Lonchura striata: one gene and its partners. The protein of the gene in region 2 purifies or fractionates together with the protein of the main gene of each other region. This does not show direct contact. Links are inferred from orthologs where the notes say so. Each region holds a gene or a part of one and is shown on either strand. Other genes may lie near its edges. The genes, in order: WAPL, SMC3, PDS5B and PDS5A.

What was found.
Region 1: the proteins of SMC3 (region 2) and WAPL purify together in Homo sapiens (affinity purification with mass spectrometry; 7 studies listed by BioGRID and IntAct, with this or other methods). This does not show direct contact. The link is inferred for Lonchura striata from reciprocal best matches to the Homo sapiens genes SMC3 and WAPL.
Region 3: the proteins of SMC3 (region 2) and PDS5B purify together in Homo sapiens (co-immunoprecipitation; 7 studies listed by BioGRID and IntAct, with this or other methods). This does not show direct contact. The link is inferred for Lonchura striata from reciprocal best matches to the Homo sapiens genes SMC3 and PDS5B.
Region 4: the proteins of SMC3 (region 2) and PDS5A purify together in Homo sapiens (affinity purification with western blotting; 8 studies listed by BioGRID and IntAct, with this or other methods). This does not show direct contact. The link is inferred for Lonchura striata from reciprocal best matches to the Homo sapiens genes SMC3 and PDS5A.

What each region holds. Positions count from the first base shown.
Region 1 is NC_134609.1:5,932,826-5,940,727, reverse strand, and holds the start of WAPL (wings apart-like protein homolog), read left to right. Parts: upstream 1-4,894; 5' UTR 4,895-5,179; coding exon 5,180-5,280; intron 5,281-7,660; coding exon 7,661-7,902. UniProt on the Homo sapiens protein: Regulator of sister chromatid cohesion in mitosis which negatively regulates cohesin association with chromatin. Involved in both sister chromatid cohesion during interphase and sister-chromatid resolution during early stages of mitosis.
Region 2 is NC_134609.1:22,966,393-22,973,813, forward strand, and holds the start of SMC3 (structural maintenance of chromosomes protein 3), read left to right. Parts: upstream 1-4,403; 5' UTR 4,404-4,571; coding exon 4,572-4,586; intron 4,587-7,421. UniProt on the Homo sapiens protein: Central component of cohesin, a complex required for chromosome cohesion during the cell cycle. The cohesin complex may form a large proteinaceous ring within which sister chromatids can be trapped.
Region 3 is NC_134604.1:67,448,407-67,456,001, reverse strand, and holds the start of PDS5B (sister chromatid cohesion protein PDS5 homolog B), read left to right. Parts: upstream 1-4,582; 5' UTR 4,583-4,715; intron 4,716-6,175; exon of another isoform or gene 6,176-6,264; intron 6,265-7,595. UniProt on the Homo sapiens protein: Regulator of sister chromatid cohesion in mitosis which may stabilize cohesin complex association with chromatin. May couple sister chromatid cohesion during mitosis to DNA replication.
Region 4 is NC_134606.1:23,095,185-23,102,717, reverse strand, and holds the start of PDS5A (sister chromatid cohesion protein PDS5 homolog A), read left to right. Parts: upstream 1-4,516; 5' UTR 4,517-4,639; coding exon 4,640-4,666; intron 4,667-5,455; coding exon 5,456-5,626; intron 5,627-7,533. UniProt on the Homo sapiens protein: Probable regulator of sister chromatid cohesion in mitosis which may stabilize cohesin complex association with chromatin. May couple sister chromatid cohesion during mitosis to DNA replication.

The DNA of each region.
Region 1 (7,902 bases), about 17 Mb from region 2:
TGGCTTCTGTGAGAAGCTGCCAGATGTCTGCCAGATCCCTTGTGTCTGATTCAGCCAATGCCAGTTGGCTCAAAGATGGACCCAGCACTGGCCAAGGCCACACCCAACAGTGATGGTGGTGGCACCTCTGGGATAACAGATATAAGAAAGGGAAGAAGAAAACTGCCCAACTGCAGCTGGAGCGAGGAATATGTGAGAGGGGGGAGGAGATACAGAAAACTGGGAGCAAAGAGCCTGGGAAGAGGGAGGATGTAGGGAAGGTGTTTCAAGATTTTAGTTTTATTTATTTTCTTGACCCATGAGCCTTTTGTTTTATTTTCTTTCCCCTAGCTAGCTGAGGAGGGCAGTGACAGAGGGACTTTGGTGGACACCTGGGATCCAGCTTGGGTCAACCCATCATGCCTGACCAGTGAAGCTCTCAGTACAACCCTGCCCTTCTTGCCCAGTCCTGTGCTGCTGCTGGGGCTGGTGCTGCTGCCCTTCCTCCAGCATGCTACTGGTGATACTAAAGTCTTAGTCACTATTTTAGGAGAACTAAAATATGGTAATTAGTTACTTCATGTGTCTTTTTACCCTCTCTCACCTTTGCTGTGCAAATAGCAAGGGGGAAATTCTCACCCCAGTGAATCAAAATGGCAAGGGCCTGTGTGCTCTCACCCATGTGTGCCTGTGACATTTGAAGGACAGCAACAGGAGCACGGTGACTTTTGGCAAAGAAAAAGCAAAAAGCACCAAAATGTTTACCATTGTAAATGGTGCTAACTGGGACATGAAAGCACTGCAGCAGCTGTGAGTGCAGCAGAACATCCTCCTCACCCCCATCCCTTCCCACCTGGGCAAGAGGCAAGGAAGGAAGCACTGCAGGAAGCTGAGAACTTGAAAGGCAAATGGTGACTAGGCTGAAAGGCAGAGGAGGAGTGGACTGAGAGGCTTTCAGCTGTGATAGGAGCATTTTAGGCATGAGGAGCATGGGGAGAGCTGGCCTATGAGCTACTGTTTGCTTCTTGGGTAGTGCTTCACAGGGAAACAGGGCGATGGATTGTGAGCTTATTCCCTTTCTGTGGGAAAAGGACTGGAGCAAGGGTGTATTATGGTGTTACTTCATGTACTTGATATAAAGGATACCTACTGCTATGGTGCCTTTAAAACCTGTAGCCTCAATCATGCTGCTGTTACTGTCAAATGCTATGTTCTTTCCATGAGGCAGCACTGAGAAACCTTCCTGACAGCTTTCTGGGAGGATGTAAATTCTCTTCATCTTCCCCAAGAGTATCTGCTGCACAGGAAACCTTCTGTTTTCCTACTGCATTGCCTCCCTTTTATTTTGGAAGATACTGAAACAGTTTTAAATGTTTTAATATTTTTGAAAGGCTCTGTACTAGGCTGTAGCTCATTTGGAAAATTCTGTATTGTTTGCCCTGCACAGGTCCTGGCACAGAACCTCAAGAAGAGAACTGAGAGGGGTCCAGAGTGTATTAAGATCTGATGTATCCAAATAACTGTTCTGTCCCTCTTATGTGTTCCTTCCTACTATGTTTTTATCTCTTTTATATCCACCTTTGATGCATTTGAGCTGTGTTTTTCAGGACTTTCTGACTTTATTATAAGCAGCAAAGATGATAGTTTCTTTTGGGAGGTTAGGGGGGCAGGCAGTAATGGGAAGCTGTAGGATTCACTTTGGTTTTCCCAGAAAATTTTTAAGGTAGAAAACGTACAGTTTGAAAGTGGCTGCATATCTCCCACTGCTGTTATAATGAAGACAAATGCCAGTCTGAAGTGCTTCATAGGCTGTTTTTTTTTGTGTGTGTGAAAGGATTTATGTGGTTGGTGTTTTGTTCTGGGGTGGGTTTTTTTGGGGGTTTTTTGGGGGTTTTTTTTGGTGGTTTTTTTTTTGTGTGTGTGTGTATGAATGGAGATGGCAACTATCAGTAATATAATTTCACAAAAAGCATAAAATGCCTGTTAAATTCCACTCTCTGAGAATGAAACATAGCTACTGCCAAATGCAGGTGGGATTTGGCTTTTATTTGCTCTGCCATGGTACTTGCATATTTGAGGTGAGCCAGATGCAAATGGAAATAGCAAAGTGTAACGTGTTAACTGCTAAGCTTATTAAGATGCAGGGTGTCAAAATTTTCAAAGTACCTTAAGTATGTTGGGGCAGTAAAACTGGCACATCTCTGCTGTTCTTGAACACAACGAGGTTTGTTTTTCCCATCATCATCCTACCAAAACGCTTCACTTACAGGCTTCTGCTGGTACCCAGGATAGGATAGGCAGCACATAAATAAGTTTAATTTATCCTCTGTTAGTCAGGGGTAATTCCCTCATGACCATGAATCTGCAGTGGTTTGGATTATTCGGCGAGGTTTTTACAAAGACTGGAAATACAGCTAGAAATATGAAGCTAGCCCAGGGGTATAAGGTGTGTAAGAACCTTCAAATACATCTAATTACTATCTGGAAAACTCTCTACATTACTGTATAAGTGACTTAGGTAGTCCAGGCTTTACATTGGAAATAGATCTAATTTAATTTTAACTCTTCCAGCTTCATATTAAAATAGAAACAATTTCCTAATAGTTTCTTGGTGTTGCTTCCTTACTCTTCACTTTTCTGGCCATATTCTTCACTTTTTCTGATTCTCAGGACAAACTCTTATGTTGTAAAGAACTTCTCAGAGCCTCAGTGTTTCAAGCTCTCACAGTTGTGTTTTCCTCTTTGTCTAACAGATCAGTCACCAAGTAAGACTATGCAAACTGAAACAGGTTTAACTATCCATTTTACTCTTGGAGTTTAAATGAGCTATTTAGTGGCTCTAATCAAGAATACTCTCAGGAGAAAAATCTTTTCACTTTTTGTAGTCAAATTATGGATTTTAAAGTCTGTACCATGTTTTCCAGGGGCTCTTCAATAACTGAGTCAGGTGATGAGATAGAGGTGAGCTTGTAGGCCTTGTCTGAGATACAACACAAACCTCAAATGGAACTTATACTTCTCATTGCAAGGCCCCGTTTGTTTTATCTCCACTTTTTCCAACACTGCCAGATGTATACTGAATTTAGAGAGCATGTTCACAGCATGTTTGTGCTTCAGAAGTAATGCCTGAAAGCTCCAACACATCAGTAGGGATGGGGCAAAGACCAGATTTACTCAAGAGGATCACGAAACAAAACCAGTCTTGCATCTTTTTATTGTGAGGCAGTGATTTTGCATTGGGTAAAGTAAATATAAAATTAAGAAAACACCTAGAGGTATTGAGACAACTCTAACATCTTCTGCGCAGTCAAATCAGCCTTTTAATTAGTTCTGCGTTTGGGACTTGTAAAGCCTCAAATAAAGGTTTGAGTATGAGCATGTGTTGTGAAACCATTTTAGACTCCAAAGTTGTAGAATTTCACTTGACTTTCCCAAGTTCCTCACTCCTTTGAAAAATTACTAAACTACATCTGCGTGATGTTGTTTAATGTTTTTCTTGTCATGCATCCTTACTATTCTATCCCACAGGGATGTTGTGAAATACTACCTACAGAATATGAAATGGTGTTTTTGGCGACTGTTGGATGTCCGTATGTATTTGCTGCATGATACAATCCTCGTGGAGCATTTTTGCTCTCCGCACAGTGCGTATCGTTAATTAACGCCTCAAAGGTGTGCATAAATCTGTGGGTGGCTGTAACAGCTTGTGGAAATGGGAGCATGTGAGAGGCGCAGTTCGGCAGCCTGGGCGGCCCTTCCCGCAGAGCATGTTTCCTGCGCGGAGCGGATGTGCAGGCCGGCTCTGCGCGCCCAGCGTGAGTACCAGCCCAGGGAGCGCAGGGGCTCCGTGCCCCGCACGACGCACCGCAAACTTCTGTGGAGTGCACGCAGGGCCGCCTCAGCGCCTGCCGCCTTCCCGATCCCCCGGGCAGGGTTCTGCCCCTCGGCGGCTGCACACGGGCCGGGCCGCTCCGCACCCCTCGGCGTGCGCCGGGACACACCTGGGCCCGGGCGCCACCGGGGTGGGGCCGCTCGCGGCGGGCCCCGTTGGCCCAGCTTTCACAGCCTCCGCGCGGGCCCGGGCGGAGGCGGCCGCGGGGAAGCGCCGGCTCCCGCCGGGCCGAGCCACCCCGTTCGGTCCCGGCTCGGGCCGCCCCGCCGCGGGGACCCGCCCGCCGGCTCCGGGGGCCGGGCCCGGGCCCCGCGGGGCCCGCGCCGCGCCACAAACTACAACTCCCGCCGGGCACCGCGCGGATGGGCGCATGCGCGGAGGCGGCGCGGGCGGCCGAGCGAGGCGCGCGGCGATTGGCCGCGGTGGCGGGGGGCGGGGCGCGCGCGGTGACGGCAGGAAGGAGCGGGGGCAAATGGCGGAGAGATGGTCCCGGGGCCCGTCCCGAGCGCGGCGATAATCCCGGCGCGGAGGAAGCGGCGCCGGAGGAGGCGGCGCCGGGGGCCCTGACGCCCGCGACACCCCGGGAGGGTCCCGCTGCCGGAGGGGCGGAGGCGTCCCGCGGGCTGAGCGCCTTTCGCAGGCGGCGCTTCGGCGGCCCGAACCCGCGGCCGGAGCCACATCGGCCGGGCCCGCGCCCGGCACCGCCGCCACCGCTGACGCCGAGGTGGGTGCGGGGTGAGGGGGCGGCGGGGGCCGAGCGGGCCGCGCACCCCGCGGGCTGCAGCCGCCGCCGGGCCCCCGGCGCTGTCCCGCCTGCAGGGGCGTGCGGGGCCGCCGCCCCCGGCCCGGCGCGAAGTTGCGGGGCGGGAATTGGCTCGGGCCGGCGCGGGGGGGTGCGGCTCCGCGGGCCGCGGCTGCCCCGGGCACTTGTGTAATGTGGGCCGGTGGGGCGGCGGGGCGGGCGAGGCGGCCGCGCGGGACGGGAAATGACATCAGGGAGCGGCGGGGTGACCCGGTTCCGCTCGCACCCCCGCCCCCCCGCCGCAAGGGGAGGGAGGAAAAAAGAAACTGTCACCGTGGGATTTCATCAGCTCCTTCTGCCTCCCTGCATTTAACCTATTTTTCTTTCCTTTGATTATGTAAGAGGAGCGGTGTAGAGAGGAGCGATGAGTAGGGGTGGCCGATGGGCTTCCTGGGGAATTACCGGGTTTTTTGTCCCCAGCTGGTCCGCCGAGTTAGCGCTGGGAAAGGAGAGAAAACTGTGGTTTTTGGGTTTTACGTGTCTTTACGTTGCTTGTATTGCTCCAAATGGTGCAGCACAATGCAGGCGAGGGAGGCAGGGAGCGGAAACAGAGTGAGATTACACCAAGTGTTTTATTTCCGTCTGAGAGAAAAATCAAGAGAAAATTGTGAGTAAAGAGAAAAATCCTGTTCTGTTGATGCTCTCGTGTAAGAAAGCACCTCTTTATGCTCTTAAATCTAAGATATAAGAGTATAGCATAGAGTATTTATATTTTCCTAATACTTTTAAACTGTGCACATTATATTGAGTATTAATTCGGGTTTTGGTGTTTTGATTTAAAACTTATGAGATGAACATAATTTTAAAATTTATAAATAAGAAAATGGAGTTTACTTTCTGAAAATTAACTCCTCTTGACTACAGGAATCTTCCCTTTGGAACTGCAAGCCCCAAGCTATACTTTAAATTTGTCATTAGTTTGCATAGGTTGGGAACATAGTATAAAAAATACTTGTCTGAGTACTTCTTATAGTGCTTATTATAACTAATACTTACTTGAGTCTTGAGGGTGTAGGGAAGGAAAATATGCTGGTGGTCAGTGAAATGGTTTTTTCTTTCCTGTAAGTTGTTAGAAACTGAGATATTAGTAAATATTTTACTTCAGCTTCTACAGTTCAAAAACCTGGCTATTCTGGTGTAAAATATTTTGGTTGCTGTTACAAATATTTACAAGCATCAGCAAAATAAAACTGGTAATTTAGATTTTGTTTGCTGTTTGCTTTCTAAACTATGTGTAGATAGAAAACACAAAATTGGAGCTCCATGCAGAGGAGAAAGAAAAGGAGTTTGGCAGTGATATGTGTGTGGAAAAGAGGAGGTGGGATTCAAGAGCCCTGTCTCCTAGGAACAGCCAGGAGCCCTCTGAAGAGTGGCTTTTGCAGCAGAGTTCTGCTCAGCAGATGAGCACCTGCCTTTACCCTCCCTCAGCTGCACCACGGGGGAAAAGAGCCTTTCCCAAAGTGGGTATTCCTGTAGCTCTTCTGCATTGCATCACCATCCACCTGGTAAACTTCTGAAGTTCAAATGTGATCATTTTAATGCACTTTAAATTTTCTCCATGGGTTTTCTCCCCGTGAATTGCTTGGTTCCAATGGTAAGTGAAGGTTGGTCTGGTCTAATAGAGGGAGACTATTATAGTGAGACAGTATTGCTAGAATGAAGTGATAGAGGGACATTTCTGGAAGGCAGTCTGGCAATTTTGGCAGAAGCAAGACTGCCACTTCAGGTTGAGAAGCTGTGAGTGCTGAGATGAAAACTAAAATAGGAATGATGGTATGTCACATATTCGGGGAGTAATAATAAAAACAGTTGTATTGAACAAATAGATCATTATAAGTCCAATAAAATTATTTTAACTGCCATTTTTCATATACTTTATATGAAGTTAGTTAACATTTCAAAAGTTAGATTTCTTTGATTCTGTACCTTAAATAACTGTCTTTTTTAGCAGACTTTTTTCTGGTATGGAGAGGTATTTCAGAGAGAAGGATGGAATTGATTAGATTCAGGCTGACTATAAAGAATTGCAATTTCCTATCCATGTTTGGGCCAAAAAGAGAGAAATAGTGGTTCACAAAACAGATATGAGAGTTTGGGGTTTGTGTTGTCATTTGTCCAGCAGTTAGTGTTTGTTTTTGGGTAAAAATCTTTGAGTTAAACAAAATTAGAAAAAGAGCACATACAAGGAACTCTTAAATGTGTTCCTGTTTAATGTGTTACTTTTACACTTCTGTTCCTCTGAGCAGGCTGTGGAGCAGTTGTGCTTGTAAGAGCCAGTGAGCAGTACTGGTTTACATGGGCCTGCTGAAGGTGTCCTCCATGTTCTTAGAGGTGGATTGAGCAGTGTCTCTGTTCTGTCCCTTGACGAATCAGATTTACCTGTGGGGGATTGTTGTGCACCAGTCCTGACCACATAATGTTACCAAGTAAAACAACTGTTACGTGAGTCTGAGTGTGAGAGATGAATGTGGGATGGAGTGGTCATCATTGTGATTAATTAGTACTTAAAATACATCTACAGCAATGTGAAATATTCTCTCAGTTTTTGTATTTAACTGGCAAGAGATTTTTTTTATGCCATGCTATGCTGTTGGACTCTAGGAGGGAGCTGTGTGTTCAGATGTGGTGAAAATACTGCTGAGTTGTTTCATGATATTTTATGATAATGCCTTCTATACTTGAAAATATAAAATTAGAGAAAAGCAATACCATTCTTAGAAGATTTTCTTAACGACTCATTGTGCCATTGGTTTATAAATGTGCAAGCAACTGAATTTCTTTTTATTTTAGTGGGTGCTTAGTGCAGAACCTTTTGCCATAGTGACAGTCACATGTCAATGAGTGCATCTAGAAAGAAACACGTGATGGAGCTGTTGGTTGTGTGCAGTGTACATGCCTGGTGCTTGTATGCCCAATAAAGGGTGGAAGTAACAATAATTTGTACTAGAAAAGTGATGAATTGATGTTTCTTCTTTCTTTCACAACAGAGAATATGAAACAGGAGCCAAAATGACATCCCGATTTGGAAAGACCTACAGCCGGAAAGGGGGAAATGGCAGTTCCAAGTTTGATGAAGTGTTTTCCAACAAACGGACCACCCTTAGTACAAAATGGGGAGAAACCACCTTCATGGCCAAATTAGGACAGAAGAGGCCCGGTGTCAAACCAGATATTTCTGAAGTTCCTAAGAAACCCAAAGTTGAAGATGAGGTAACAGAGGATCCATTTG
Region 2 (7,421 bases):
AGCCAGCATCTCAACTTGTAATTACATCCAGCCCTTATCAAACTGACATTCTTTAAAGGCTCTTACAGGCTTAGGGCTCCCACTTCTAAGTTTTGTGGCAGGCAGTTGCTCGCTGTCAAAATTACAGATATTTCTGCAGGTGCTGCTGAGGAGTCAGACTGTGCATTGCAAGGCATAGGTCACTACAGGGTTTGAGAGCAGCAGAGCTCAGTAATTTATTCAAGTCAAAAAGAAATTGTTGGAAAGGAAGTCCATGTCTGGTTTGCTTGCATTTTTTTCACCATAAGTGCTCCTTGTCCCGCAAAAGCTTGGTGGGTTGTCTGCATTGAGGTGGATGCATGTGCCAGGGTGTGTCAAGAAAGCATTGGTTTCTCCTACTTCACCTGCTGGGATCTCTAGTGAGTTCAAAGGTGAGAGAAAGATGCATTATGGCCCTGCTGCCTTAGGATTTAGGATTGGGTGTGTTATAGATAAAAATTGATACAGCCAAATTAAATATGAAAAATTAAAATTTTATTTTTAAGATCGAATTCTCTCTGAGCCAGCCACAAGAAAAAGGACGGTGCCGAGTCCGGGATCGGTGCTGGGTGCATCACAGAGCGGATAGCCTCGGCAGAGGTTCCCCCTATGCCCACACACCATCCTCTTGGCACAAGCAGTTTTTATAGGAAATATTCTTCCTGACGCCGGGATTTCGGGGAATCCGTCTTTTCTTCCCATTCAAAGTCCCACATATTCATAAAATCTCTTTTGTCTGTGTTGGGGTGGAACAATTCGGTGTCGGGTGGTGATGAATCTTCTTGATGGAGTTACGGGAGCACGGCATTCAGCTGTATCAGCCCCATCTAGGGTCGTTGCCAGGATGATCAGCCCCTGGGCATTCCTGTATCACCTCGAAGAACGACCCATCTCCGGGCGAGCAACATGTATTAGGTTGCAAATAAGGTTTTGTCAGAAACCGGTTTTCGAATATGTGGGGGCACCTCCCAATGCCAGCCCGTGTGCTTCCAACAATATCAAATATTATACATATCATATTATATTAGCGCGAATTACACTCGCTACATGTAACAGGTGTTCTAGGAGGAGAGGTATTCTTGGCTGTCCCACTGTTACCCTGCTTGACCTTGGGCAAGACACTTTCTCATTGCCTTTGTTTCCCAGCCTGGGCGTAGAACATCGGACTATCTGTTTCTGAGTTCAAATTGCAGGGTCTAATCAAAGTGTCAACTAAAATCCAAGTTCCCCGGTTTGCTCCTGAGATTCTGCTGCGACACCAGCACTAAGAAAAACAGTCTCCAGAAGTTCTGCCTCCCCTGATGATTTCAAGCGATGGGAGCACAAGAGATTGATGTTGCAGTGCACATACTGATTTATACAGGCATTTGAAAAAGGCAATAAATACCTCAGTGATTGCAAGCATTCATGAATGAAAGCAGCCTATACAAGTGTTGGTTCACAATTGAAAGTGGTAATAGAAGAGGTTAATAACACTTCAAGTGCTTTGTCCCTCCCTGCAATAGGTTTAACATTTTTTTTTCTGAGAGAAATTCTACTATTTGAGAAGACAGAAAAAAATCTACAGAAGTGAATTCCCATCTATATGTTCCTGGTAAGTTTAATGAAAGAAATGCTTGACATATTTTTATGCTGATGAAGACTAGATGAATTAAAGCAGTGTTCCCACTTCCTCCTTTCTGATGCTAATGTCTAATTCTAGCATAACTATGCAAAAACACTGCTTATAAAGCAGGGCCATGGAAAAAAATCTCTGCAGCACCTACGGAAGCAAGGTGAACTCCTCGTGTAGCAAGCAGTGATTATATGTTTGCAGGTTCTCAATATAGAGTGCTGTTTTACAAGCTGCCAGCTTTCTGCACTCCTACAGCCACAGCAACCTGACAGAATAAAAATTACATGCATCACACTTGGGTTGGAAGCATATTTTCAGCAAGTACTACAAAACCGAAAGAATAACAGAAAATATAATACCTACCCCACCACTCCACTTCCTCAAATACAATCTCTAAAAGCTGTGTGGCAAAACCTGTGTGCAGGGGCCTTATTTGAGTATTTGAAACACTCTTTGAACCAGACAATCATTTGCCACTTAATCCTTAATGAATACAGTTGCTATTTTTGCAAGCACGTCACACTGGTGAGGATGTTTGCTGATGGAATATCAGTGGGATGTGATTTTATTCTTATGAATAAATATAATGTGGTGTCTGTGCACATTTACATGCACACGAGCCCTCTCCAAATTGCTGGAGTGTGCTGTATATCCAAAGTCCTCGAGAGAGAATGAACACCTGGGGATAAAAGAGATGCCAGGTCCTTGTTTGTGCTTGTTCATAACAGAGTGATGCACTTCTTGGTGCACCTCAACAACAGGAATCTGTCTGGAGCACCAGATGTGGGCTGTTTGGCTCGACACAGGGCTTTCAAGAAGACTTGGTGAATTCAGGCACAAAAATGTCATTGCAGCAGTCAAGAGAACAGACAAATTTTCCTCAGCTGGTTTTTCTGAACCCCATCTTTAGGGCAGGAAGATTAATTCCTTGCTCTGGCAGTCTATGATTAAGTGAAAATAAGCTTCTGAACTACAAAGGAAATCTCTAAGGTGTGACTCAAGGCGTCCTGTACCTCTAAAAGCAGAAGACAAAGAGGAATGAACTTTACCATCTACATCCACCTGTCTTTAGCAGGAGATTGGTAGTGAGGAGATATCCAGAGAATTCCAGGTTTACTTAGAACGTGTAAAAAAAATCTGTGTAATCTAGGTTGTGTAAATGGATACCATTTATTTGCATGATAATATTAACATAAAAATAGATGTAAATAATTCTTTTAACCAGGTGCAAAATAGTTTAATTGTGTTGTAAGGAAAAGTGGGGAATGTGACTTTTGTTTATTTTCTTAAACTCTCTTCTCCTTCCTGCCAGGGGTGTCCTGAGATGGGCCAGGCATGTGGGACCTGAACTACAGGGCATATCTAACTCACTTCACCTCAGAAAAAGCAAAGAAGGGTAAATTTAGTATCACAAACGAATCCCAGAAAGATACAGTGAGATTTATTTGAGGATTTAAAATTCCCTGAAATCCTAAAATGAAAGGGATTTTGGAAATGCAGATAGAGAAAATATTTTTTCCTTCAGTCACATTGAACTAAGCTATTTAAAAGCCAAATGAGACAGGCAGGAAATTTTCATTTTGAATTTGTTTGTAGAGTAACCATTAAACACTTTAGTTTTTTAAGCCCTATGTTTTCTGAAGAAGCAATGGACCATTTCTTTATAGGTACTGGTAAAATCTGTTACAATAGCTTCTTGAAGGGCTGTTAGCAAAACCATTTAATTACATGGCACTTAAGAATGTCTGCGACTGGTGAGATTTTCCCATTAGAAAAGAGAAGTAATTAATCCATCTATTATTTTAGGAGAAGCAGAAACTTTCTGTTTAAATCTAGTTTTTATTAGTGTTAAGAGGCTCAGAGGCAGAATTCTATGGCATGTCTAGAAGTGCTGGCTCCAGCTGCAGTTTTGAAGGAGCACTGTCAAATCGAAAATTGCATTTTCTCTGAGATGTCGCACCCCGACTGTTGTCACAACAACACCTGAAATCACCGTAAGTGGAAGAGATTAGGTGAAAATTAATGTTTCTCTCCCACCATTTTGCTTATTTTTTGTGTGTTTGACAGCTCCTCCGGGGAGCTGGATAGTGGCTCGGCGAGGTAAAGGAGCGGGCACGGACTCCAGCCGAGCTATTTTGCTGAGGATGCTTCGCAGCATCGCTGTTTGCCACCTCACCCCGGCACCCGCCTGGCTTCGCCCAGACTTTCGCCCTGTGGACGCAGAACTCGGCCCCCAGCCCTACACAGCCTGGAGGACGTGGCTGAGGGAGCGGCTGTGCTGCGACAAGGGGCGCATCAGTGCAGGCTTTAAGGCCTATTTTTTATCATCATTTTTATTTAAAAGAATTATTTTTAGATCCTGGAACGGGAGCCGGGTGTTCAGACCGAGCCTTTATTTGCCCCCACTCCCGCGCAAGCGGCCCCTCAGGGCGGCCCCGACAGCGCCCCCTAGAGGCGCGCACAGCCCCTCGCCCCGCTCGCCTCAACTTGCCTTTGGCGCCCAATCCGCCCCTCGGCGGGAGAAACCACTTCTCCCAGCTCTTCGGGGGGGACCCGGCGCCCGGGAGGCAGGGTGCTCTGCCTTCCCCGCTACGCAGCGCCCTCCAAAAGATCACCGAGGCACTTTAGAATATTGGAAAAGGAAATTCCCGCTGCTTCACGCGTTGTCACTTCTTCGGCGGTACAGGAGAGCATTCTCTGCTCCGCAGTTCTCCCTCCAAGTGGCGCTGGATGGTTCGCGCCAGGACGGGACGGGGCGGGTCCGCCGCCATTTTGTTTGCGTGAGGGGTGAGCGGGCCCTGTGCGGGGAGCGGGGCACGGCTGAGGGGGCGGGAAGCGGCGGCGGAGACCCGCGGTCAAGTCGAGCGTTCGGACCGGAAAGAGACGGCGAGGGCGGGCTGAACGACAGCCTGGCGGGCCTCCCCCATCCTGGGCAAATATGTACATCAAGCAGGTGAGCCGGCGGGATTCGCGCCGCCCGCACTGTGCGGTGCGGCCTGTGCCTGGCCTAGGGGGTTGGCCCATCCCGCCCCTGGGCTGGGGGCTCGGCACGTTCATATCTGCCCGGCCCGAAGCAGGTGGCCCGCGGGCTTGCGGCGGGCTCGGGGTCCTTTGCTTCGATCTTTTCTGTCCCGGGGGTCGGATCGAGGTCCAGGCTAAGGGAGGCGCCCCCGGCCCGTCCACGGGTCAGGTCCTACCGCCGGCTGGGCAGGCGGTGCTTTCTCTGCTTCTCTGCTCCCCTTTCATTCATTGCAGGTGTGAAGAGACGCTAGGGTCTCTTTCATGGACCCGAGACTTGTTCGCGGGGCCCCTTTGTACGCCAGCCCCGGTGTCCCGGCCGCTCGTACCCAAACAAAGGGCTGCTCGGCTGTCAGCAGCATCTTTCAGCCGTTCACATTGTGGGGTCTCTGCTTGGGGTGCTGTCTCAGGCCCCCGGGCATGAACCATTTACGATTCACCCTTGCCAAACGATCTATGGCTGGTGCTCAGTTAAAAGGATCCTGGTATACACCTTTTTGTATACACCTTTTTCAAACAGTTTTTGAGATCATCATTATATTACTTCGGCAGTTTCCCTGCAGCCAGTTTAGCAGCAGATTTTTATTACTGCTCTCGTATTACTGCATATGTGTGTTCATACAAAGCCTACCAAGATTCTCATTTCCTGGTGGACTCAAAATTGACCTGTTTCTCACACCCTGCAGGTGCTTTTCTTAAGAAGAATACTTTATTAGCTTTGAAATGCCTGTTCTTCATAGATACCAGGTTTTCATCTACTGTTTGGCTGATTGGGCGGTGTTTCAAACGCCTGCCTTTTGATTGTACTTTTGTAAATCACTCTTGATTAATCATCATAGGTGGGCACATTGCTTTAAAGACTTTGAATAGGTTTTGTTCTCCACATTTGAATTACTGAAAAGCAAGCAGTAGTGGAGATCTATAGAGTAAGTCTAAATTAGCTCAGAATAGGAGAAACGTTTCATTTTGACAAAAACACCAAGAAGGAAATTTGGGTGGCCAATAACCAATACTGTTATAGGGGCTATAGAAGAAAGTGTAGCACTGTGCGGGTGTGAGAACAAAAAGAATGAGAATTAATTTGATTCCATCAGTATCCCCTGTTTTGTTGTTTTTCAGAAATTGTTCCTGGAGTTTGAACATTAAAAATATTTAAGTCTTAATCTGAGTTGATACAAGGCAATGAAGAAGTCATGAGGTTTCAGAATATGTAGGATGGGTGAAGTGATAAACCATCTAGAGAAAAGCTTTGGGGAGAAGATGATGGTGTTCAGAGCCTGCCTGTATCACACTCCCTTGGTGCCCGGGTGTGTGGCTGCTGAAAGTTTGTGCTTCTATAGCAATATTCCAGAAATAGTAATTGTTTGGGTTTGTCATTTTGTAGAGGCTTCCAGGTTCTTATGAGAATAAATGCATTATTCCAATTCAGATGATTTTTATATATTATGTGAAAAAATGAAAAGTGGTAGAGACCAACTTTTTTGCCCATTTTTTAATTTCTCCCGTTCCCCTTGAAATCTAGTGAGTTTGGAAGCAGCACTGTCTCAAAATGTTTGGATTTTAAAAATATTTTTGTTGTTAAATATGTTAAATCAAAATGAATGAACATAGTTGCCGTGGCCTAGGGTCAGTGGCAGGATCTGATTAAGATATTCTGTTCCTGCTTTTCCTTTGAAAGCTGCTGGCACAGAGCTTGCTGCTAAAGTCTCCATCTGGCAGATGAAAAAGACTGTTTTTTTAGGGGAGGTCGGGTGTTTGTGTTCACAGCCACAGTACCTGGGCAGTCTTCAGTCCATACATTGTCTTAAACTTGCTGTCTGTAGTTGGGTCCGTTAAGTTCTGAAATCTTTGATTGCTTCCAGTGCAGTGGATCTGAATACAGTGCAGGTGGTTAAAGAAAACGGTGTCTGGCCTAAGGATTGGCAGTTCAGAAGAGGTTTAAGGTGGGCAGAGTATTGAAGGAAGCTGCAGTGGAAGGCTGTTCCTTTTCCAGAGTAGCTTCTGCTTCGCTCTGATGTTTGATAGTCAAGGATTAGTAATTTGCTGCCTACCTTTGGATTCCAGTAATGAAATAATTTTGCAAAGAGAATTTGACCATAAAGCCACAGTGCCTCCTGGGAAGAGAAGGTCTCTTGAATTCTGACTAAAAGTTAGTTAATGTCTTAAAGTGGCATTTCATTTTGGTTTTTATAAATTCCAGTGTTTGATTTGCTGTCTGACACGGCATTTTCATTCAATATTAGTGAGATGGTTTTAATCCATTAGTACAAACAGGTGATAAGAGGAGTTTTCCAAAACAATACTTTAGTGGCCTGTCACATAATGGGAGAAAGACTGAAGATCAAACTTGACATGAATAAATATTGGCATTTTTTTTCTCCCAGTCTTTTGTCCAGTACTTTTTGTGGGCAGGATTTTTTCCCCCACTGTTTGTTTAATGCTGACAGAATATGAAAGCAGTGCTGAAGGTAGTTGTTTCTTGTGGTGCTGGAGTGTACATGTAATAGAGGCTTTTGTGGTAGTGAGGAAAGGCTTGCTTAAATGTTTGCAGTACTACTTCTAGGCTTTTTGCTGAGGTTGAATAAAAAGTATTCTGCTCAGTTTCTGGAGTATGAGCTACTTTAATACTTGAAGAGAGAAGGAACAATGTATTCAGAGAAATAGAAAATGGTGATGGGACCACAGACCTTACAAACAAAAAATCTAAGTAATTTCATATCTTAAGCTTCAGCACTAATAATATTGAGAAGTATCTTGCAAGCTGTTTTTG
Region 3 (7,595 bases), on a different chromosome or scaffold from region 2:
TTCTCTTCCCATGCATGTCTCCAACTAGGCAATGACCTCTTTAGGAAGAAGTCAGAGATAAATATACATCTACAGCTTGTTCCTGAGGACATGTTTGTGAGGGCGTAATGCTTCTTGCTTTAATAGACAGACTTACTTTAGTAGGTCATTTAATCTTAATGGTGTCCCAGTATAGCTATTAATTATTTAATGAAGAAAGCAGAGGAGTGGGTGGAGTGAAAAGCTTTCTGCAGTCCTCACACTGAAGAATAACATCACATCCTTGTATCCTCTCTAGTTTTGTTCTTGTTGGGTTTTGTTTGGTTTGGTTTGATTGTTTTTGTGAAATTCCATATAGTACATAATGACTCTTGTCTTCCTATTAGAAAACAGCCACAAGACAGGCACAAATAGGTATTTCTGGTAGAATCAGACTTATTAGCACTAAGACGAAAGTGGTACTTTTAAACTTCAGAATTTATATTGGACATATATTGAAGCTAATAGGTTCTGAGCATCACTGTCTTATGTAGCTGTTTGATTTTTGTTTACAGGGAGACAGTGTTGGAAACAGCACACACACACAGAGTAAGAGTCTAAAAATTCCAGTCATATAAAGTCATTATTTCCATGTGGCTTCCTTGCAAATTACTTAAGAGACATATGAGATACTAAAATTAGTTGCAAAGTTAATGCAAGTTCATAATATTATCAGCTATTTAGTTGAAGAGGAACACCAATAAATGAACAAATCTTTCTTTCTAAAAAACAAATCAGTACACCTGCAAGTAGAAAGCCTCCCTCCTACACGTCAAAGGCTCCTTTCAGTGTGAAGGGCTCAATATATAAATTACATATATTTAATCTGAATTGTTTTGCTAGTAAAATACTTTTGATGCAATTGTTTTAGAGTGACAATTAAAAGGGAAACAAAGGGAAGTGTTTTATCTATGCTGGAAACAAAAAGTATCATTTTCACAAACCAGATACTACCTTGACAGTTGTTCATACTTACACTGAAAGGTCAATACCATAGAAGAGTACGATCACAGCGCCAATGCATAAAGATAATGTGCTGGGAAAGGGCCAGTGTAGTTTCTGTGAAGGGAGATAGTGACTCTATCACAGACTTCTAGCAGGTTTGTGAGTCAGGAAGTGCATGGACAAGGACAAAACAGGGAACACACTTGTATTTTTAAAGAGCATTTCTGCACCTTTCTTATTACAAGTTGTCAAACAAAATTGTACTGGAATTGATGTAAATGTCCGATGCTGAGTTGGAAATGTGGTTGAAGGATGGAAGCAGAGAGTACTTTTGGTTACTTTCTCATGTGGAGAAAAGTCAGCAAGTCTCTCTCCCAGAAATGTTTGGGCTTCCTTATGTTGTTTTATGCAACAATCTTTGATTTTCATTAATAACCTAGAAAAGGGAATGCACACAGAATGACACATGTAGGATGTTAAACTCTTTCAGGTAATCAGGTGCTTCAGAACTTCAGAAGGCCTCACAAAAGGGGGTGGGTAAAAAGATAGGCTTTGAGAACTAGATCAGTGTAAGGTAAAGCATAGAATCACCTATCAAACTTGGAAGTCTAAGTTCATGAAATCTTGAAGTTGCTGATGTCAGCTTTCTGAAATCTTTGACTGAAACTGCAACAGCAACAAAAAAAAAAAAAAAACAAAAAAAAAAAAAAAAACAAAAAAAAAAAAAAACAAAAAACAAAAAAAAAACAAACCAAACCAAACCAAAACACAAAAACTAAAAACCCAAACACTAAACAACAGAGATGTAAGGTGTCATCAGGAATAGTACTGAGAGCAAGACAAATGGCAGTTTGCTGCTCTGAGGGAAATCTCAATGCACTCATATCTTGAATACAGTGCACAGTTCTGGTCTGTAAGAACACAACAATTTTAAAGAATGAATTGAGAGAGATAACTAAAATGATTCAATGGGAGAGATTGTCAATCTGATAAAGTAGGGACTAAAAGGCCCTTGTCACTGCAGTCTTCTGTTTTCACACAATGTTTTTTACAGACAGAAGGCTGTGAGAAGAATACTGCTGTGTAAGGGTGTTCTTTGACTATGTTCATCATTGTCACTTAAACACTGAGATATGGAACATGTCTTCAGCACACACAGTGTGGAGCACAAGTCCTTTGGCGAGCAACTGAATGAGTGGGGTTCTTTAGTCTGGGCAAAAGGAGGCTGTGGGGGTCTTATTGCTCTCTATAACTGCCTGAAAGGAGGTTATAGTAAGGAGGGGATCACTCTCTTCTTTCAAGTAACAAGTATCAGGAAAAGTGGAAATGGCTTCAAGGTTGTGCCAGTGGAGGTTTAGGATATTAAGGAAAATTTCTTCACTGAAAGGGTGGTCAAGCACTGGGACAGGCCCTCCAGGGAAATGGTGGTGTGAACATCCCTAGAGGTATTTAGAAGACATGTAAATATGGCATTTGGGGGCACAGTTTTGTGGTGGACTCAGCAGTGCTGAGTCACTGGTTGGGCACAGAGATCTCAAAGGTGTTCTTCAGCCTTAAATATTTCTATGATTCTGTGTAAAAGATCTGGTCTTGGAAGTTCTGTGACACTGACATTTCTTATATGCCTTACTGCAAGCAAAATATTTATTTTGCACAAATATTTTCGATCTTTCTCAAGTATGCTGTTTCTGTAAGTAACACAATTTTCCTACACTTCCCGAAGGTTGCAAATCCCCTAAAATTTAGCAAGCCTGCTTCGAGTCACCAGTTCCATGAGAGATGCAACGTTTCTGGCGGGGAAGGCTGAGCCTGCCGTCGGGACACAGGCAGGGCTGGCAATCTTTCCGGGTGGGACGGCACGGGGAAGGGAGCGGGCGCGCGTGGCCCGCGCGGCAGGCAGAGCCTCGGTTCGCGGCGCTTCCCGCGGCGGTGAGCGCGGCGGCGGCGGGCGGGCGCCCCCCGCAGGGCCGCGCGCGCCACTGCCGAACCCGGGCGGGGCGGGAAAGCGCGGCTGAAGAGCCGCCTCCAAATCCCCGATTCCCACATCGTGAGGGGTCTCGGCGCAGGCAGGAAACAGGGCGGAGCGTGCCTAGGGGCGTCCCGTTATTCAGCGCCCTGGCCCGCTCCGGGGAGCGCCCGCCGCTCCTGGCGTCCTGATCGGGCGCTGGAAGTGGTGGTACTGTACCTGCTCCATCAGAAAAACGGAGCACAACGGAGCCATCTCAGCGCCCCGGTTGCTTTCACAGGCATACGCTGGGTTTTGCAATTTCAATAGCAGTGTTAAGAGAGATCAAAAAGTATTTCAGTTTTCTGCTGCTTTGTAAGTATCCTTGCAGACATCTGCAAGTGCTCCACTGGGAAAGGATGTGTTCCCCAATCTAAGGCTTTATACTCCATGAACTCAGATAGACAGCAATGTGGGATTTGAAGGGAAATTATCCAACCTGCATCAAAAAGTTGTATCTCGACTCCAAGTCCAGGATCCTTCTCAATACAAAATTGTCAGACAAACCTTCTGCTCTTTTATGTCTCTACTTTTTTTTTTTTTTTTTTTCCTTTTTTTCCCAGAAGGGAAAAAAATCCCTGGAAAAAGTCACTGGGAAAAACAAAACAAAACAAAACAAAACAAAACAAAACAAAACAAAACAAAACAAAACAAACCCCAAAAAACCCCAAAAAACTCAAACAAACAAAAAAAAAAAACAACAAGGGGAGTTTGGGAGCCTGCAAAGTGATTTGTATGTAATAGTTCTTGTTGGGCTGATGTAGTCTGTATTAGAAAATGAGGTAGTTTAGCACTGAATAAAGATAAGGCATGCTGGGTACAATATATTAGCAAGTTCAGAAAGCTTCTGAGAGATTTGAACCACTAGTTACAATGTATTGGCTAACAGTCTTGTCAAAGTGTTTTTCACACTAGACGAAGCTGTGGGTATATTTCAGAAGGTCTGTTAAGTGTGATTTGTGTTTTTTAAATCATAATCCTGTAACACTTACATGCTGTCCTGATGAGTCAGGGGAAAGTTCTTCCAGAGGATGGTCGGGCACTGGGACAGGTTTCCCAGGGTAGGGGTCACAGCACCAAGCCTGCCAAAGTTCAAGAAGGGTTTGGACAATGCTCTCTGGCACATGGTGTGACTCTTGGGGACGGCGCTGTGCAGGGCCAGGAGCCGGACTCGATGATGCTCATGGGTTCTTTTCAACTTATTCTATGGTTCTACAATAAATGAAGCCTTTTAGCTGCAGTGGCAAGAAGAAACCACCTTTACTTTTCTGTTTGCGTTTTCCTGTAAGGGCCCCCCTCAAACTCTTGCACTCACTGAAGCAAGAGCAAAGTGACTTATGCTACTTTTCCTGCTCTTTCTCCTCAGTTAAGCGGCTTTATTCCTTTTTTTTTAACAACAATCCTTTAGTAATTCGCCGTTTTGGGGAAGCGTTTGCCTCAGTCGCCCACGGCGCGCACATCAGCGGGAGCCGGCCCGGGCCCACCCTCAGCCCCGGCCGGGCCGGCAGGGGGCGCTGCTGCCCCGCGCTGGCCGCGCTCGCTCCCCTCGGCGGTTCTATTGGAGCAGCCGGAGACGAGTTGGCGCCATTTTGAAGCCGGCAGGGGGACCGGGGCGAGCTGCGGAAGGGGAGGGGGCTGGCGGCGATTGGCTGCGGCGGCGGCGGCGGCAGCGCCTCTCCGAGCCCGAAGCGGCGGCAGCGCGGAGCGGACCCGCCTGCGACCAGCGAGGCGAGGCGGCTGCAGTGGGGTAAGGAGCGCGGCACCTCGGCCGCAGGTACCCCCACCCCGTCCCCGCTCCATTTTCCCTATCCGGGGGCGTGAGGGACGCCCGCCCGGACCGAGCTCCGCGGGCAGCGCTGGAGGCGGACGGGCAGCAGAGGGGGAGCGGGAGGGCAGAGCTTCCCCTGGCCCGCGGTGGAGCTCCCCCTTCCCATCCCCCTCGCCCCTCCGCGGGGCTGCTCCCCTCCCCCCTTTTCCGTGGCCGCCGTCAAATACTGAATTCCCCCCTCCCGCCCGCCGCCCGGGGCGATGGGGTGACCTTGGCTGGGGTGCGCGGGGGCCCGGGGGTCAGCCCCTCGCCCCGGTGGCGCGGCGGGCGGTGTCGCGCCCGGCGCTGGTGGCTCCTCGCGGCGCGGAGTGGCGGGGAGGGGGGGTGGGGAGGCTGCTCGCCCGTGGCTAGGAGCGACTGAGTGAGTGGCGGCGGCTTCCCGGGTGTCCCTTTCCTCCGCGCCCCGGGCAGCCGGCCTGCTCCCCGCTCCGCGGGGCTCCCGCCGCCCCGCGCGCCTGCTTCCCGGGCTGAGCGCGGGGACATCCCCGTCCCCTCCGCGCCCGCTTCGGTCTCTCCGCGCCGCACTTCGCAGTGCTCCTCAGCGGGAAGAGGTGCCGGGGACCGCGGTTTGCTGCGTTCCTACTTGTGTGCGAGCCCGGTTCTTTCATGCTGGCTTAGCTTTTTTTAATTTTTTTTTTAATTTTTTTTTTTTTTGCCCCCTTCCATTCCTCCTCTTTCTTTTTCCCTCCCACTTTGCATCAGGCTCGGGAAGGGAGAACGGGGGGGAGCTGGGGGGGGGGGGGGGGGGTGGTTGCCGCCGCCTGGTAGATGGAAAACTATGAATTTTACATCTGAATTGCCAGATGGAGAATGGTTAATTTATAGGTTATGTATTGTTTACGTTGAGAGCCTCCGGTCAGGAATTTAGGTCCGTAACTTCATCCTGCTGCAAGTAAATCACTATCTGTTCTTTAAAACAAATCGACAATTAATGATGGTCAACAGTCCTGGAAATTAAACTGCAGCAGACCGGCTCCTACAGAGCTGGATTTTGTCTTGCTAGCCTTATTCCGACTTTTATGCTTGCTAGCTTCGTGGTTGCTTTCTGAGAGCTTTGATTATTTAGTTAGGCGTTATGTTTTCCCGTTTAATACAACTGCTGAAGCGTTCTCGTGTTGGTCTTTGTTTTGTGCTTGCCGGGTGGGTGCTTTAGCTGTAATTGATTTCTCTTCACTGGGGATGGAGTAGAAAGAGCGTTGAAAATTTGAGTGGCTTTATAGTTGAAAATGAGCATCAAATCACGTTTTGGGAAGGGAGTACGGTGATGTGCATTCTTTCAGGTTTTCCCCTTTCAAACTAGTGGAGTTGTTCAGTTTTCAGGTGGTAGAAATTTTGCCTGGTATGTTTTTTATGTTAGATATGCTAGATATTACACTGTGTAAAGTAACTCTTCAAAAAGAAGTGGAAGAGCTGAATGTATGCCATGCTCAGACCACCTGAAAGAAGACTGACAGTGACAGGCCATCAGGTAAGGTGGTTTAGCAGAGGTGTGTGTATCATGTGCATCACAGCGTTTGAAACGGTGCACTGCTGGAGGAAGTAGTTTAGTACTTTAGCACTTGCATGACATCTTGTGTCTGTGTCTGAAGCAAGGTTGAACTTAATTACTGTAAGGTTGAGGGTATGATGTGTCTGGGTGGAGTGTGGTGTTTTGTTTGGGATTTTTATACAGATACTATACTGTAGAATTTGCCTATGCGTTTCTTGCATCCTCTTTACTAGTTAGTATACAGATTGGATAAACTATGGTTCAGCTTTTAATGAAACAACTAAATTAAAATGGAAAATCATATGTTTAGTACTTGCATACAACTTCTTTTTTCTCTTGTAAATAATGAATTTAGACTTTATCTAACATGAGTACTTATGAACTGAAATTGAGCAAGTCACCTAAGTCATTATTAAGTTGTAATTGACCATATAAAAGCTGAAAGTCATTGCTACCATTTGGGAAAGCACAGTAATGAAATATGGGCATAACCTCAAGCATTATCCATTTTTATCCTGTAGAACAGGAGGTTCTGTTACCTCCTATAAATTGGGAGAGATGCATTTTCTTTTGGGATGTTGCTCTCTACCAAGCTTTCAATTTATGCCTTTTTCCTCTTTCTTCATTCAGTCACACAATTTATAGCTTTACAGAAGAGTAAGAGGGTGTATGTGTATTATGGGTATGAGTCTTCTGGTTTAGTAAAGGATTTTCATTTAAAGGTGTTTGGTGTTAATGGTTTTTATTTCTTTAAACCCGAATTGGGAGAGGTGATAAAGACTACTTGTTGCACAAGGAGAATTTTCATGGGAGCAACAAATAAGAAAATGTGAAGCTGAATAGTAAAAGTATGCAAAATTTGAGATGGAAGGAAAATGTGATACTGCAATTCATTATTTTTCCCTATCAGTTTCACTCTAATATCCTCTTCCTTTATATTGCTTGCCCCAAATATTATGCCAAGAAAGAGGAAGGTATGTCTTTACTTCAGAGAAGTTCCTTTTTAGAATCAACAAGTAGTTCTGATATGTTCAACATTGTCTTACCACTTGTCAGTATCATTCTTCTTCTAACACCTATCTAAAGTAATGGTGTCTTTACTCTTATCACAAAATATCAGTACTGAACCTGAAATAATCGTCGGATAGACTGAGAGAATACTGGAGGCTTTCAGTCAATTCTGAAACTAGGTGGTAAGGGAAAAAACTGAGGAAACTTTTAAAAGGTGTGTTAGTGTGATAGTGCTTAGTGGTGAAGTGTGTTCATTTTCCAGATCTGTAGACCCTCTGGAGCATCTGAACAGCACTGAT
Region 4 (7,533 bases), on a different chromosome or scaffold from region 2:
CTTAGAAAGGTAATGGATGTCTCATCTGTGGTAACACGCAAGGTCACACTGGACAGGGCTTGGAGCAACCTGATCTAGATGGAGATATCTCTGCTTACTGCACTGGACTGACTAGATGACCTTTAAAGTCCCTCTCTACCCTAACTATTCTATAGTTCTGTGATAACTGCCCTATTTCCAAGCATGATTCAGAATAAAGGCATTTTTAGGCAGCACATGGAGAAGTCCTCCTTACCAAAACCAGAGCAAAAATAACATTCAGACAAATCATGGCTATGGATCAGTTTCTAAAGAGTTTATCATCCATACAGTGTGTGGTCCTTCCCTTTATTCAGAACTGGTACTATTCCATGAAGACTCAGTGAGCAGTGAGATTCTTCCACAGGAGCACTTTGTGTCTCCATGACTGTCTTTATGACATAATACACATAAGTCCTCTTTTACCGATTTTATCTTGTCAATGTAGAAAATGGGAGATATACAAGTCCCTGGTTTTCTGGCAAAGCTCACTTCCTGGGCTCTTCTAAGAGTAATTTCACTGTAAATACCCCCTGGAATGGAACACCTTTTGGAGCTTTTTCATTATAGCAATGCACATTGTCAAGAAACTCACCTCTGACCCACCTCACTTTACAGCAGATGTAAAATACATCAATTATTAAAATAGGCAGTTAAAACAATTAGGTGGTGTTATCGAAGATATATTATAATGCAATGACAGATATTACTTATTGCAGTTCACAACACAGTGTCATGTCTTAATGTCACTGTTTACTTCTTAGTCATTGTTACTATCTATGTTTACTGTCTTAATAAAGACCTGAGGAGAACCACTAAGCAGTTTCTGGAAGCATGTGAGCATAGCTTAATTTGATCAACATGAATTAAAGGATTTTCTATGCTTGAAGTAATCACTCCGTACTCTCTTCTGTTTCACCCAAAGAGTGTTTTGTTCTGAAAACCCTGTGCTGCATTATTTTTGCTACCAATAAAACCACATTTTTCCTTTCTTGATCATTTCCTTGAACCTGTCCTATCACAATACAATAAAAGAAGTGCCTCACAAAGCTGACACACAGGTATTCGGCACCCTTTATTTCAGTCTGCTTATGAATAACAATTGCAATCATAGTCTAAAATATAATCAAAACAAACAAAGGCAGATCAGAGCAAATACATACCAATAAAAATAATGTGAGTGAAGGTAATAAAATTCTGATGCAAACAGTAAAATCTGGGTAAAGACTAAAGGACTCAGTAATATTATTAGACAGCCATCCAGTAAAACCCAAGGGATCATGTGAACCTGGCTACAGCTGTACAAGCACAGTCCAAGTCAGATCTCAGCTGCTTGCTGAAATTAGAAGGGTGAAGGTCAAACAAGCAAAAGCAACAAACCAGAGACTAGCAGCTGTAATTGTATTTGATGACAGCAGATTTCAAGACTATACAGATTAAGGAGTGCAACAGGTCAGATTATCTGAAGCTTTTATGTTTTTACATTCTGAAAATGCCATGCATATATTCAAACTAATTGGCAGTTAAGTGTTCATTAATTGGGTGTGATATCGAATCTACATGCTCTGTTTTAGCCCTTTAGAATTTCAAATGGTGCAGAAGTTCAAATCCCACTGCTCTTCTGAGAAAAGATAGAACCATTGCCTAATCAGCCCATGATTACAGAAATTTACACCTACTCCTCTCAGCCACTTTGCTGATATGATTTGTCCAAGACTCACTCAAAACACTACATATCTGGCTAACATACTGCTGACTAATCACTCATTTCCCATAAAAGCAGGAATCTTGTGCAAACTCCTTGACAGTCAACCTTCCACTGATGCCTTTCAAGACCTACTGTGTTATTCTAACTTCACTATTTATCTGAAATCTGAAAGAAGACAGAAAGATCTTGGTCCACAGCCAAGAGTACTTCAGTGTGGGGAGTCACTAAGAACTTTGCAAGATGAAACGGAATTTTAATTGAATGAGCAAACCTTGCCTGGCTCTCTCAAGTAAAATCTTTTAATTGCCTTGTCTAACTACATGCTACTTTCAATGTACATATTCCTTACAATGCAAGACATTATCTTATTTGGTGAAAAATAAAAGTGATTAGAATTGCATAATGAAGGCTTTGCATTGTGTTTGTCTTAGACTAAAAGCAAGTTGTGGGAGAGTAGCCCTTAACCATTATGTTCTTAGTCCTACTTCACAACCCATTGTATAAACAATTCTAAGTAAAAATGGCGTCAGTTTGTTGAAAAAAAATCTTTTAACTACAAGATTACAACAAGAAGTTATGCTATTGTAGATCACACGAATGATGTACATAACACAGTGCTTTTCAATAACAACTAAATAATATTTGAAAACAAATATCAAAATCCATGAAATTCAGACAGGTCAAATTTCTGGAATGCAAAACCTGTAGCACTTCAATTCTGCCCAAAGAGAAGTCTGCCTAACATCTTTCTAGCTTTATGTTTGGTTCATGAAAAAAACCTTAGCAATGGACTCTTTCAATTAATTTATTGCTTTTTACTTACTTAGATTATTTTCCTATTTAAAGTGAAAAGAGCTCATATAGGTTTTTGATATACATACTTTATTTAGTTACAGAATAATCTTCCAGGAGTTGTTCCTAATTTATTATGCTATCAGAAGTGTACTAAAAATAAGGAACCTACACCAAATGGTTTATATTAGTAATTTGATTGGAGAAGGAAGCACCTTATGTAACAAATTTAAGGATAAAAGACCCAAATATATGTTCAATGTATATAAGCTCTGACAGTACATCTCATTTGATTGACAACAAGTTAAAGCTGATAGCTAGTCTCAGTACTTCAACATTAAGGCAAATCTAAATAGCCCCTTCAGTTTAGATTGGGAAAAAAGATTACATGCTTTATCTATTTACTAAAATCAGTACAACCTTAGGGTCACCTGTCTATTGTCAATGTCCAAATCCACTGATCCTTAAGCTGACAGAGAATCATTTTATCTAAGTCTGGATTCACAGCCAGATTTAAATGCCTGGTTTGATGACACCCTTCTAAATTTCAAAATCAGTGTCTGAGATTCTCCAAGTGTTCATTGCAACTCTCAGTCACTTTCACTATAATCCTTTTAAGCTGGTTTCATAGAGGCTGTGGACACTCAAGGCTTTAACTCCCCTAGGACAACAATGCAGGGAAACGAGGACCACAAGTGTAGGATAGCAATTTCCTACCCACATGCTATTACACCTGAAGCTCCAAAAAGCTTTTCAGTCTTTGTACGTTTTCCACCCGCACCTTGTAAAGCTGGAATTTGGCATACTTCACCATAATCTTACTTACCCCTATCCCATCCCCTCACCCTCCTGCACCTTTCCTTTGCCACTGCCAGGCCATGCTAGCTACCACCCTGCTGTGCGTAGAGAGGCTCCTGTCATACCTGTGCAATCCCCATGGAGAGAAACATCCCTCCATGGAGACTAGTCCTGACCTCCCACCTTCAACTTGCTCTAAAGAAAATTCATTAGAGATTTGCAAAATTAAGAAAAATAATACTTTTAGCTGGTTTGAATAACAAAAATAAACAGCTGAAGACCTGAAATTAGTCTTGATCAGTTAAGAGTCATCTTTCAGCTGTCACACATCTTCTCTGAGCAGCATGGGCATCTAGAAAATATTTCATAGCCACCTACACTTCAAACACGACACGGTACATACTGCAGATTCAAAACAAACAGATCTATCCCACTTTGTTATTGCCTTTCCAGACATACCCCATCCCTTCGAAATACGAATATTAAATTAGAAAGACATTTTGCACGGAAGGATTTCCTGAGCTGGCTGGCGAGGGCTCCTTTGGTCTGCATAGTCAAGTTTCTCCTTAAGATTTACAACCAAAGGATGGATACTCCTCTTTCCCCTCATCTGCCTGAAGAAGGACTGCTCACTCTCGCCGGCCACAGCACTCTGCCCCCCACACTGTTTCCGCACACTCTTCTCTATCATGCTGACCAGGCCCCAGACGCCTGAGGGACCGGCCCGCGCAGCCACGAGCGGCCTGGGCTCCGTAAGGAAGCAGCAAAGTAACTCGCTTCCCGCGCTGCAGCCGCGAACCCGCGGGCTCGCTCGCTGACACTGCCGGCAGCCGGGCATCGCCGCTCGGCGCCAGCCGGGCATCGCCGCCCCGGGGGGATTTAGGAGCCAAGCTGAGGCAGCGCCGCTCCAGCCCTCCGTGCGCACGGCTCCGCGCGGTGCCAGACTTACTGGGCGGCCTCGCCCTCTGCCCGGGGCGGGGGCTGCGGGCTCCCGGCGGGGCGTCGCCGCCGGCCGCGGGCGGGCAGGGGAAGGGGAAGGGGAAGGGGCGGGGGCGACGCGCAGGCTCCGCCCGGGCTGCGCTTCCCTGGGCGGGCGGAGAGCGGCGCTGGGTGCCCGCGGCGCACGCTCCGCCCGAGCCTCCCCCTCTCTCCGGCCGCCGCCGCTGCCGCTGCTGCCGCCACCGAGCCGCTCCCCCTCCCCCAGCCAGCGCTCCCGAGCAGGAGCTGCCGCGCCGCGGAGCAGGAGGCGGCGGGAGTGCCCAGGGCAGCGGCCGGCGGGGTGGCGGCGGAGCGGCGAGCACCACCCGGCACGGAGGCTGCTCAATGCTGCACCTTCCGGAGCTGCATGAGGTAAAGGCGGCTCCGGGTCCCGCTTCCCCCCGTGCTCGCTCCCCGCTCCCCACGGCCGCGGGGGTGTGTGCGCGGAGCTGGGGCTGCGGGGGGCTCTTTGTGGGCCCGGCCGAATGCGGGGCGGCGGGGCGGGTGGGGGGGGTGCGGGGCGAGAGCTGAGGGGACATGAAGTTGCGGGAACAAATGGAAAGTGGCGAGTGGCCGGGCCGCCTCTCCGGGGGAGCTCCTGGAGGCGCGGGAGGGCGGGCGGGGGGCTCTGAGGGAATGGGGGGTTCGCGGGGGGGTTTTGTTTGCGCTCTCCGCCGCCTCCCTCCCTTCCTCCCTCCCTCCCCCTCTCCTGTTGGCTTCTCTGCCTCCCGATAGTTTTGAGGCCTAACTGTTTAGGCCTCGTCTCCCGGCTCCGAGCCGGTGTGCCGGCTCTGAGCCATCTCCTGGGGCCGGGAACGGCGTCCCCGGCCCACCCCCCGGGCCGTAAGGGGCCCTCGGCCGCGGGGTATCCCTCGATTTGGCCCCAAATTTCATTGTAAAACCGTCGGCTGCGAACTAACAGTGTCGGGCTGGAGCAGCCTGGCAATGAAAGGAGGCGCCGGAGGGGAGCGAAGAGGCCCGAGTCGCGGGGAGCGGCGGCGGGCCGGGCCTCGCTCCCGCCGGGATGCGGCGGGGTCAGCGCTGGGGGGCGCGGCCGGCGGGGCGATAGCCGGGGCCTTCAGCGAATTGAGGGTGAGGAATGGAAAAAGAGGGTTAGAAAGTCGTTTCCATTCTGCTGAACTTTTGTTTTCTGACCGATAGAGGCCGGTAGAGGACTGTGGAGAAGGAAAGTTTATAACCAGCAGCGCCAGGATGGACTTCCCTGCTACCCAACCAAAACCCGCTGCCGACGGTAAAATCATCTACTATCCTCCTGGAGTGAAGGAGATTACGGACAAAATTACCAACGATGAGGTGGTTAAACGGTTAAAGGTGAGCAATTCTGACTACCACTCCCCTCCCTGCAACTTTTACTTGTTAAGGTAAACATTTTATCGCTGGAATGGAGAACTGCCAGAGTTTTGTTGTCCTTCCTGCCTGCAGACCTTTAAGGGAATATGACTTCATTGTTTTTCCTTAAGAGTGGAGGACCCATTTTTCCCATATTTTGTAATTCATTACTGTTCTCTTGTGCGTTCTCTCAATGCTGGATTTGATACATTAACTGCTAATTTGTACACGAAACATATCCACAGTCTAGAGAGGAGATTCGAAGTGGAATCATAAGTAATAATTACAGGATATGCTAGCAAAACTTTTTTGCAAGCCAGGTGGTTTTTTGGGTTCTGGCATTTGAAGAAAGTATAGTTGAGCAGAGGAAACAAGTAGGTCTACATAAGGGTATTTATGATTGAAAAGATCACACTGTTTGCAAAAAACAAAGCTTAATTTGTGGACTTTATGGATGGAATTTTGAAATAGTTTCAAATGTAAAACCTGTTTCAAGATTTTTTAACTTAGTGTGATACATACTGTTTTTTTCCTATTTAGTGTAATTGACAAAATTGCTAAATTTTCTTGAGCAAAACGGATTGCTAGAAAAGCATCTTCTCTGCTTGTTTGACAGCATCCTGGAGGAGTGCAAGTCTTGCCTCTTTTTTACTTTACTAATTCCTTCTTCCACTGCAAAAAAAATTAAATGCTACTGTGATACAGTAGGATTATTTCTTAAGTCCATGCTGAAAATAGAGAATTAAGTTGAGCATTGATCAAATATTGACACAGCTCATTTGTTAACACCATGGTCTTTGGACCAAAGGTTTTTGTAACCTAGGATTTGGTCCTATGCCCAGGATGGAGTAATAATTTCTAGAGATTGGAAATATTCTATCATCTGATGATCTGTTTCCCATGACAGTAAAGACTGAAAAATAGAAATCATGGTCTGGACAGGTCAGTTAGTACATTAAAAATTTTTCTTAGGTATAAATGTGAGGAGAACATAGGCTTTGTGCTTTGTTTTTTAAGCAGTTAGGCTTAAAAAGTGTTTTTTTTTTTTTTTTTTTTTTTTTTTTTTTTTTTTTAATGAGCCTTGTTGTCCATTTATAGTTTTGAAAATTGTTGAATGGACAAGTTTGGCCTAGTATTTTCAAAACTGCAGTGGAGTGTTGCCAGTTTCAGGAGAGGATACTAGAGTTGTGACTGTTTAGACAGATACCTCAGATTAAAGTCTGTGGAATGTAAAGGAATGTAGTTTCGAGGTGATCCTTGAAACAAATATTTTATTTTGTCCCAGTTGGTGGATCTGGAATGGTGAACTATGTCATTTCTATATAATAGGAATAATGAAATTTCAAAATCATATATACATGTTTTACTGAATTCATGTGTGTGTTAGACATGCTTTCCAGGCTAAGAGCAGACTTCTTTCCTGTTGTTTTTTAATGAATTATTGTTACGGACTTCAGACAGCCAAAAAATTTGAGAGTAACTTCAAATAGAAAAAAATACTTTGCTGCTGCACCTACTGACACTCTTTTTCTGTCTGAAACTAAAGAGAAAGATTTTTCTTACAGTATTGGTACTGTTTAATCTGAATTAGAGGAATTTTTTTTGTCAGGTATGGACTTTACTGAAGCATTAAGAAAATGGGAAGTACTGTACACTCTAGAACTAAACCAATGAATGTATTTTTCTTTATGCTTTTGTATAATGTGTATGTTCATTATGAAGTTCGAGCTTCTTTATATCAACTTAATTTACAAAAGCAAATGCATTTTGGTATGTGGAATGTTATGGTGATGCTGTGCTTGGGATAGAAATTCTTGAAAAAGTTTTGTTCAATTTCTTCAAGTTTTCTTCAGAAGATAACTTTCTAGAACTTTAAATGTGACTTAATG